Linked DNA regions of Rattus norvegicus. The main gene of each other region encodes a partner of the protein of the gene in region 2 in a complex. Links are inferred from orthologs where the notes say so. Each region holds a gene or a part of one and is shown on either strand. Other genes may lie near its edges.

Region 1 (3,653 bases), about 3.9 Mb from region 2:
AGGGGGAGGGGGAGAGGGAGAGGGAGAGGGAGAGAGAGAGAGAGAGAGAGAGAGAGAGAGAGAGAGAGAGAGAGAGAAATACACAGGTAGAGGTGTTGACTCATTTGTAGGGAAATGAGAGCAGGCTACACAGATCAGGTCAGTGAAGAAAAATGTCCCTAAATATACTTTCTGACATTTTAGTGTGTTAAACCCACCAATGTGAACACCCATTTCAGACTCAAATAGCAGAGGTGGATGCCTGGATAAAGCAGGCTTCAGGCCCTTGAGATGGTCTTGGCTGGGATAGAATGGTTCTTTTGGCCCTTGCTGCCTCAATTACAGGAAATGACACAGTTAGGCTCATGGTTTGAAGAAGCCCCCCTTTGAGCTGACATATGAATGGTAAGTACAGCTTGTAAAGATAGATAAGGTGGCCTCAGGGCCCTATAGCATCATTCTTCACTGGGAAAAGGGTGGGCTTAGGACCAATAGAACAAAAGAAAAGTTTCTGTCTATTCTCTTTATCCTCTGTACAACTCACTCCTTCGCTCTTGGGATTCCATAATTAGTCCCTTGGATACTCCAAAAGAGAGTGCCATGGAAGAGAATAACCTGGAGACCCTTGAAACAGCCCGACACTCCAGCCAGCCTTGACTTACTTAGCCTCTTCAGAGATGAGTACTTGCTCGGATTTGTCTTCACTGCAGATTCATATGATGGAGGCAAATGGGCTAAGTTCTGGTAAGAGCGCGAGAAGGAGAGGTCATAGGGCTCTGTGGCTGATGTCAGGATGTTATTCATCCGTGGCTTCTCTGAAAAGCAAGGGCATGGCATCAGTGAACAGAAAGGCAGTGTGGCCAAGTTTTCTCTCATCTTTCTGCTCCACCCCTGACTAGAGTCCCCATCCTGCTTTCCTATGCTAGGATCCAGTGGGGACAGTTCTCAAGGTGTTGTCTTAGGTGCCTCAGGCTCCTGTGAATATTGATTAGTCCCTGAGGACTCAATTGTAACACTCAGCAGCGATGTCTTCTTCCAGTGCATCGCTGGTCTGTCTGATGAAACTGAACCACGTGCACTGAAAGAGCATTGTCCTAGCTAGCCTTTTGGCCACTTGACACAGGCTAGAGTCCCATGGGAAGAGGAACTGCAGTTGCGAAGATGCCCCCATCAGCTTGCCTGTAGGTAAGTCTGTGTGGGCATTTTCTTGATTAATGATTTATGTAGGAAGGCCTGTCTCACTAGGAACAGTGCCCCCTTGGGACCATCACCCTACATGGTTTAGGAAAGCAGGCTGAGCAAGCCATGAAGGAGAAGCCAGTAAGCAGTACTCCTCTATGGCTTCTGTTTCAATTCTTGCTCCAGGTTCTTCCTCTATTTCCTCTCCTGACTTCCTTCCCCTATCCTCTCCCCCTTTCCCCTGCTTCTATGAGGGAGCACCCCACCTACTCACTCCTGCCTCACTGCCCTAGCACTCCCCTATGCTGGGGTATTGAGCCTGCACAGTACTAACAGCAATCCACATTCAATCCATGGTGCCATGCATCTCCAGGGGAGTTCCCTTAGGTCTTTCTAGTCTCCATGTTTGGCAAGTCTCTGTGAGCTACACAGCTACCACTGTTTGCTTACTTTCAGTCCTTTCTCAGAGACTGCCTTAGGAATTTCTAAGCTCCCAGAAGGAGAAACTTGAGCAAAATCTGCCTATCATACTTTTTTCTTTTCTCCCACTTTCCCTAAGATAGACCCCAAGATTCCAGACACACAACAGAGTATGGTTCATTGCTAGGTCCAGGGGAAGAGTCAAGAAAGGAATAGAGATTTGTGTGAGTGGTCACCAGAGTGGATAAATGATGATGGCATACTCAGGGTGAGTGGTATCTGGAGGAAAGATTAAAGATAAACACAAGACAGGAGTAAAGGATGGGTAAGGGAACGGTGAGCATCAGGATCTGAAGGAAATGGAGGTTCAGGGAAAGGAAACAAAATGCCCCAATACTTGATTGACTTGAGAAGGAGGAACCATAAAAAGGAAGTCAACAGTTGGTTTCCGGGGAGATAGTGATACCATTTCCACAAATGAGTAGGGAAACAGCAGTCTGGCTGTACCATCTATCCATCCTCTTTGTCTGGAACCCCTCAAAGCCATAGTTTCTCTGAGAAGGGGCAGCCCCAAGCTGGGATCAATGTGTAGGTGAATTGTAGTTTCCTATACCTCTTGGCAGAGACTGCTGCATTACAGACTGCAAGAATTCTGTTGTCCCTGGGAGAAAGAGTCACCTTCCTAGGCTGTATCCAAGGCTTGCCCCAGGCATGGGAACTCCTGGCTTCTCTCCCCTCCCCTGCCTGCATTGTCACCCCCAGATCTGGGGATTGAGCCAGGGGATTTCAGCCAATAAGCTGGTGTTTGTGCCAGCTTCGTACATATGTGAGGGGGTGAGGGATGCTCTGTATCCCAAGAGATCAGAACATGCTGTACAGAGCAAGCCTCCCTGGCATGGACTAGGACAGATGCCAGGAAGTGGAGTGGGCCTGGCGCTGCGAGTGCTGCTCCCTAGACTTGCTTAGCCACGGATCCACTACTTCTTGTTTCTTCAGTTCTCACCACGCTGGGGAAGAACAGGGTTCCTTCTGAGTCTTGGCATCTTTCTGCCACTGAGGTCATTGCTCCGTTCTCCCTCTTCCAAACGCAGTAGGTTTATATGCTGTCATCTACCACTTATTCTGAAATTACCACTGAGCCAAGAACATTCTGCCTTTTGTCCTGACTGTGGCTGCCTAAGAACCCCTCGATCAAGATTGTTTTTGTTTGGGATGCCGTGCTTTATTTTTTCCTTCCTTGACCACATTCTTCCTTAACTAAAGGCTTTGACTGTGACCTTGTTACATTTTGTCAGTCCTCAGTGATATCGGCTCTTCTACCTAAGCCCCCCACCCCCCAATTTACTCAGTGACACTCAGTCTCTTACTAATTTCTAATGATTTGATATGACTTGATTTTGGTCATCCCAAATGACTTCAAAGATCTTGGCATCAGTAGACAAGCTTTCTAATATTTCTGGTTTCTCTCCAATAATAATGGCACAAACTAAGGCTCTAGTTAATGTTTTTTGGGTTGACCAAGTAGCTGTGGGTCTTTCTGGACTTCCCAGTAGTTCTAATTATTCTCTGGTGTTGGGGGAAAGCGTATTAGACAAGAAAGGAATGAGCTCTGCTTCAAATATTCTGCAAGCTGCTTGAGAACTGACATTGGGGCTCCATCTATCCCCATCTCCTTGTACCAGCTGGAAGTGAGGAGACAGGAAGAGGTGGAGTAGGGAACAGCCCTTCTGTTTGTGCTCGATGCCTGTAGTGGCTCTTCCTGAGGAGGCTCAGCTCAGTAGTTGTTCTTTCCTGAATGTTACTGAACAAGTGCAAGCGTTCCTGGTCTGCCTTTTCTGACTCTTCTTCCTACTCACTAATCCCCACAGCATCTCCCAGACTCTCTGCCTCTGCCTTCTATTTCCCCTCTGAAGAATTCTTGCACAGATAGTTCCCACTTTCAAGCCTTCTGTTACTCCCTTCAAAGACTAATGAAATCATCTCTGACTCCAACCTCAAACTACCTAGGGAACATTTTTTTCTTCTATCTTCTACAGTCATAGCATATTCTATAATTCAGAATTAAATTCACCTTC
Region 2 (3,653 bases):
TTTTTCTGAGACAGGGTTTCTCTGTGTAGTCCTGGCTGTCCTGTCACTTGCTCTGTAGACCAGGCTGGCCTCAAACTCAGAGATCTTCCTGCCTCTGCCTCCATAGTTCCAGGACTAAAGGTGTGCGCCATCACCATCCAGCCTCTGGTACTAGTTCTGAACTTACCAAAATTAACTTGAGTTCCTTGGGGAAAGGGATGGTTTCCAGTCTTGGCAAGAAGCACAAGAGGCAGGAGGGGTAGAATGTACTGGTAATCACAAGGTTTGGGAGGCTAATGTAGGGGGATTGAGATTTTAAGGGAAACCTGGGCTACATAGAACCTGCCTCAAAAAATGGCTGGGGATGTGTTTAGTGGGTGGAGTGCTTTTCCAGTATACACGAAGTATACACATGCTCTTGGTGATCAGGAGGAGGAGGAGGAGGTGAAGGATCAGAAATTCAAGACTACACAGTGTGTTTAAGGCTAGCCTAGGCTATATGAGGCCATGTTTCTTTTTAAATTAATTAATTATGAGTACACTGTAGCTGTCTTCAGACACACCAGAAGAGGGCATCAGATCTCATTACAGATGGTTGTGAGAATTGAACTGAGGACCTCTGGAAGAGCAGTCAGTGCTCTTAACCACGGAGCCATCTCTCCAGCCCCGAGGCCCCTCCCTCCCTTCCTTCCTTCCTCCCTCCCTTTTTCGTTTGTTTGTTTTAAAATAGGGCTGGGGAGATGGGACCAGAGTCTTGCTCTCTAACACTCACAGAAAGCTGGGTGCTGTGATGCATGACTTCCATCCTGACTCTGAGGGGTGTGCAGAGACAGATGGGTTCCTGGAATTTACTGCCCAGTTAGCCTAGTCTGTGAGTTCTAAATCCAGCTAGAGACCATGTCTTAAAAAGTAAGGTGGAGCTGGGCATTGTGATACACGCATTTAATCCCAACACTGGGGAGGCAAATGTCAGTGGAGCTCTGTGAGTTCAGGGATAGCCTGGTCTACATAGTGAGTTCTAGGACAACCGGAGGTAGGTGGTGAAATCCTGTATATAAACAAACAAACGAATGAACAAACAAATAAAAATTAAGATGGAGAATGATTTTGGGAAGACCCTTGAAGTCAGCCTTTGGCCTCCATGCTTGTGCGCGCGCGCGCGCACACACACACACACACACACACACACATCACCACCACCAAATAACCAAGCCAGAAACAAATACGTAAATGTGTAAGTCATACTAGAGGGCCAGGAAGGGGCCCAGGATTATTAGTGTCACAGCAGTCTTGTTGAAGAGGATTTTTCTGGCCTTACATAATTTATTTTATATGCAAACACATGAGGTCAGAATAATACCTTTATTTTTTTTAAATATTATTTAATGGATATGAGTACACCAGACACACCAGAATAGGGTATTACAGATGGTTGTGAGCCACCATGTGGTTGCTGGGAATTGAACTCAAGACCTCTGGAAGAGCAGTCAGTGCTCTTAACCGCTGAGCCATCTCTCCAGCCCCCAGAATAATACCTTTGAAAACAATTGGGTATCAGGCATGGCAGCAGATGTACCGCATGGCGATGGACACAGGTACTCAAAAGTGAAGTAGGAGGATCAAGTTCAGCGAAGGCGTAAGCAACATAGTGAGATCCTTGAAAGTGGGAGACTTGAAAGTAAAACCAAAACCAAACTTGGTCAAATGGACTCAGGCTGGGGAGCCATCATGTGGTGGACGTACAGGTTGAGCAAGACCTGGGGTCCCATCTTCACGGCAGCATTTCCCCTTGTTACCCTTGGAGAATGCTGGAACACCTAGAGACAGGCCATTTCTTCATGGAAATGTAAATAAGGGAGAGGCTCAGTCATCTGCTCCCACAACTGTGTACGCTCATCACAGAGTCAGCTCAAGGTTGCCAGGCAGCAATTCTGGTGCGTGTGTGGGTCTGTTTTCTTACCGTTTTTGTTTTGAGATAGGGTCTCATTATATAGCCCAAGATAGCGTCAAAGTCACCATGTAACCCGCACTAGCCTTCAGTGCCGTCCTGTCCTCCTCAGTGGGATAGTAGGCTCGAACACAACACTCAGCAGGTAGGAGAGTCCTTTGTAAAAATCTTATTAATGATTGTACAACATTAACACTTTGCAGTCCCTGTGAACACCAACCTTAGACACCACCCTGAATGCCCATAAGGACTCTGGTAGAAGGGTATTGTAACGAGCAGGTCAGATGATGACCCCAGAACCTGACAGTCCTAGAAAGACAGGCAGTCAGCTCACACTTCCCCATTTCTTTTGAGACAAGGTCTTACTACATAGCCCCGGCTGGCCTGAAACTTGGGGTTCTACTGTCCCAGTGGATCTAAAGTGTGGGTACCACACCCAGCAGACGTCACTGCGTCCTGTGGCAGGCACAGTTCGCCCCTTGCTGGGTGAACGTTTCATATTGAATTTGAGCCTACTAAGCCTCTGGGACAAGCCCAGGGAAACAAAAAGGGAGCAGAGATGGGGCACAGGCTAAGCAAGACCACAGGGAAACAAGTGACTATTATCGCTCATAGAATGTGGGAAATACTTTAGACAAATGACCCAGTTTTAAAAAAAAACAATCACCCAACAAAACAACAAAAAACCCTAATGACTGGGCAGAGGGAGGGGCATTGAGAGACCTGAGAGACACTTTAACCAAAAGGCAGTCAAAAGCATGATGCCAATATCCTCCTGTTGGCCCCATTCCTGGCATACTAAAGACATATGACCTCCCAACCCTTGCCCTTTGATGTCATCTGTAAACTTCTGACCCCTGCTGCGGGTCACCCACATACCTTTTTGGCAGAATAATTCCTCTTTGACTGAACCTGGCTCTGGGCTCCCTCTGGAGGGGACAGATGGGTGGGTGCCACGGTCACAACATCTTCATCTCATGCCCTGTCTGCCCTCAGCGTATTCTCAGCACCTGGACAATGAGATCAGTCATAGCAGCTACTTGGGCACTGACTACCCCACAGCCATGACCCCCACTTCCCCTCGGCGCTACTCCCCTGTGGCCAAGGACCTGCTGGGGGAGGAAGACATTCCCCGGGAACCAAGGCGGATCGTGATCCATCGGGGCTCCACCGGCCTGGGCTTCAACATTGTGGGCGGCGAGGATGGTGAAGGCATCTTCATCTCCTTCATCCTTGCTGGGGGTCCAGCCGACCTCAGTGGGGAGCTACGGAAGGGGGACCAGATCCTGTCGGTGAGAGAGGCCTGTGCAAGGGTCTGCACTGCCCCCCAAAGGGAGTTCTCTGCTCTTGGGGAGGGACTGGATGGGCTCAAGCCTGGTCCAGCTGGACCACTCCCTGACCCACTCACTCCTAAGAATGACTGTCTTCCCATCCCAGGTGATAGCATCTTCTCCCCTTTCTAGGTCAATGGTGTTGACCTCCGCAATGCCAGTCACGAACAGGCTGCCATTGCCCTGAAGAATGCGGGTCAGACGGTCACGATCATCGCTCAGTATAAACCAGAAGGTACCACGCCTAAGTTTTCTGTCTTGGTTAAGGTGGACCTCAGCATTGTCTCTTTAGCTGATGGATGGTCTCAGTAGGGGTGGAGCGAGGGTTGATGGGGTGTGGCATTAGGATGGGACAGAGTTCCAGAAACTTCTTGTCCTTTCTCAGAGTATAGTCG

The links. Proteins that work in one complex are often made in the same cells at the same time.
Region 1: Dlg4 (region 2) and Shisa6 share a complex: the UniProt entries of both Homo sapiens proteins name them as parts of the postsynaptic hippocampal AMPA-type glutamate receptor (AMPAR) complex. The link is inferred for Rattus norvegicus from reciprocal best matches to the Homo sapiens genes DLG4 and SHISA6.

The regions. Positions count from the first base shown.
Region 1 is NC_086028.1:51,404,527-51,408,179, forward strand, and holds part of Shisa6 (protein shisa-6 isoform 1 precursor), read right to left. Parts: intron 795-3,653; coding exon 642-794; intron 1-641. UniProt on the Homo sapiens protein: Involved in maintenance of high-frequency synaptic transmission at hippocampal CA3-CA1 synapses.
Region 2 is NC_086028.1:55,256,640-55,260,292, forward strand, and holds part of Dlg4 (disks large homolog 4), read left to right. Parts: intron 1-2,923; coding exon 2,924-3,219; intron 3,220-3,390; coding exon 3,391-3,493; intron 3,494-3,643; coding exon 3,644-3,653. UniProt on the Homo sapiens protein: Postsynaptic scaffolding protein that plays a critical role in synaptogenesis and synaptic plasticity by providing a platform for the postsynaptic clustering of crucial synaptic proteins.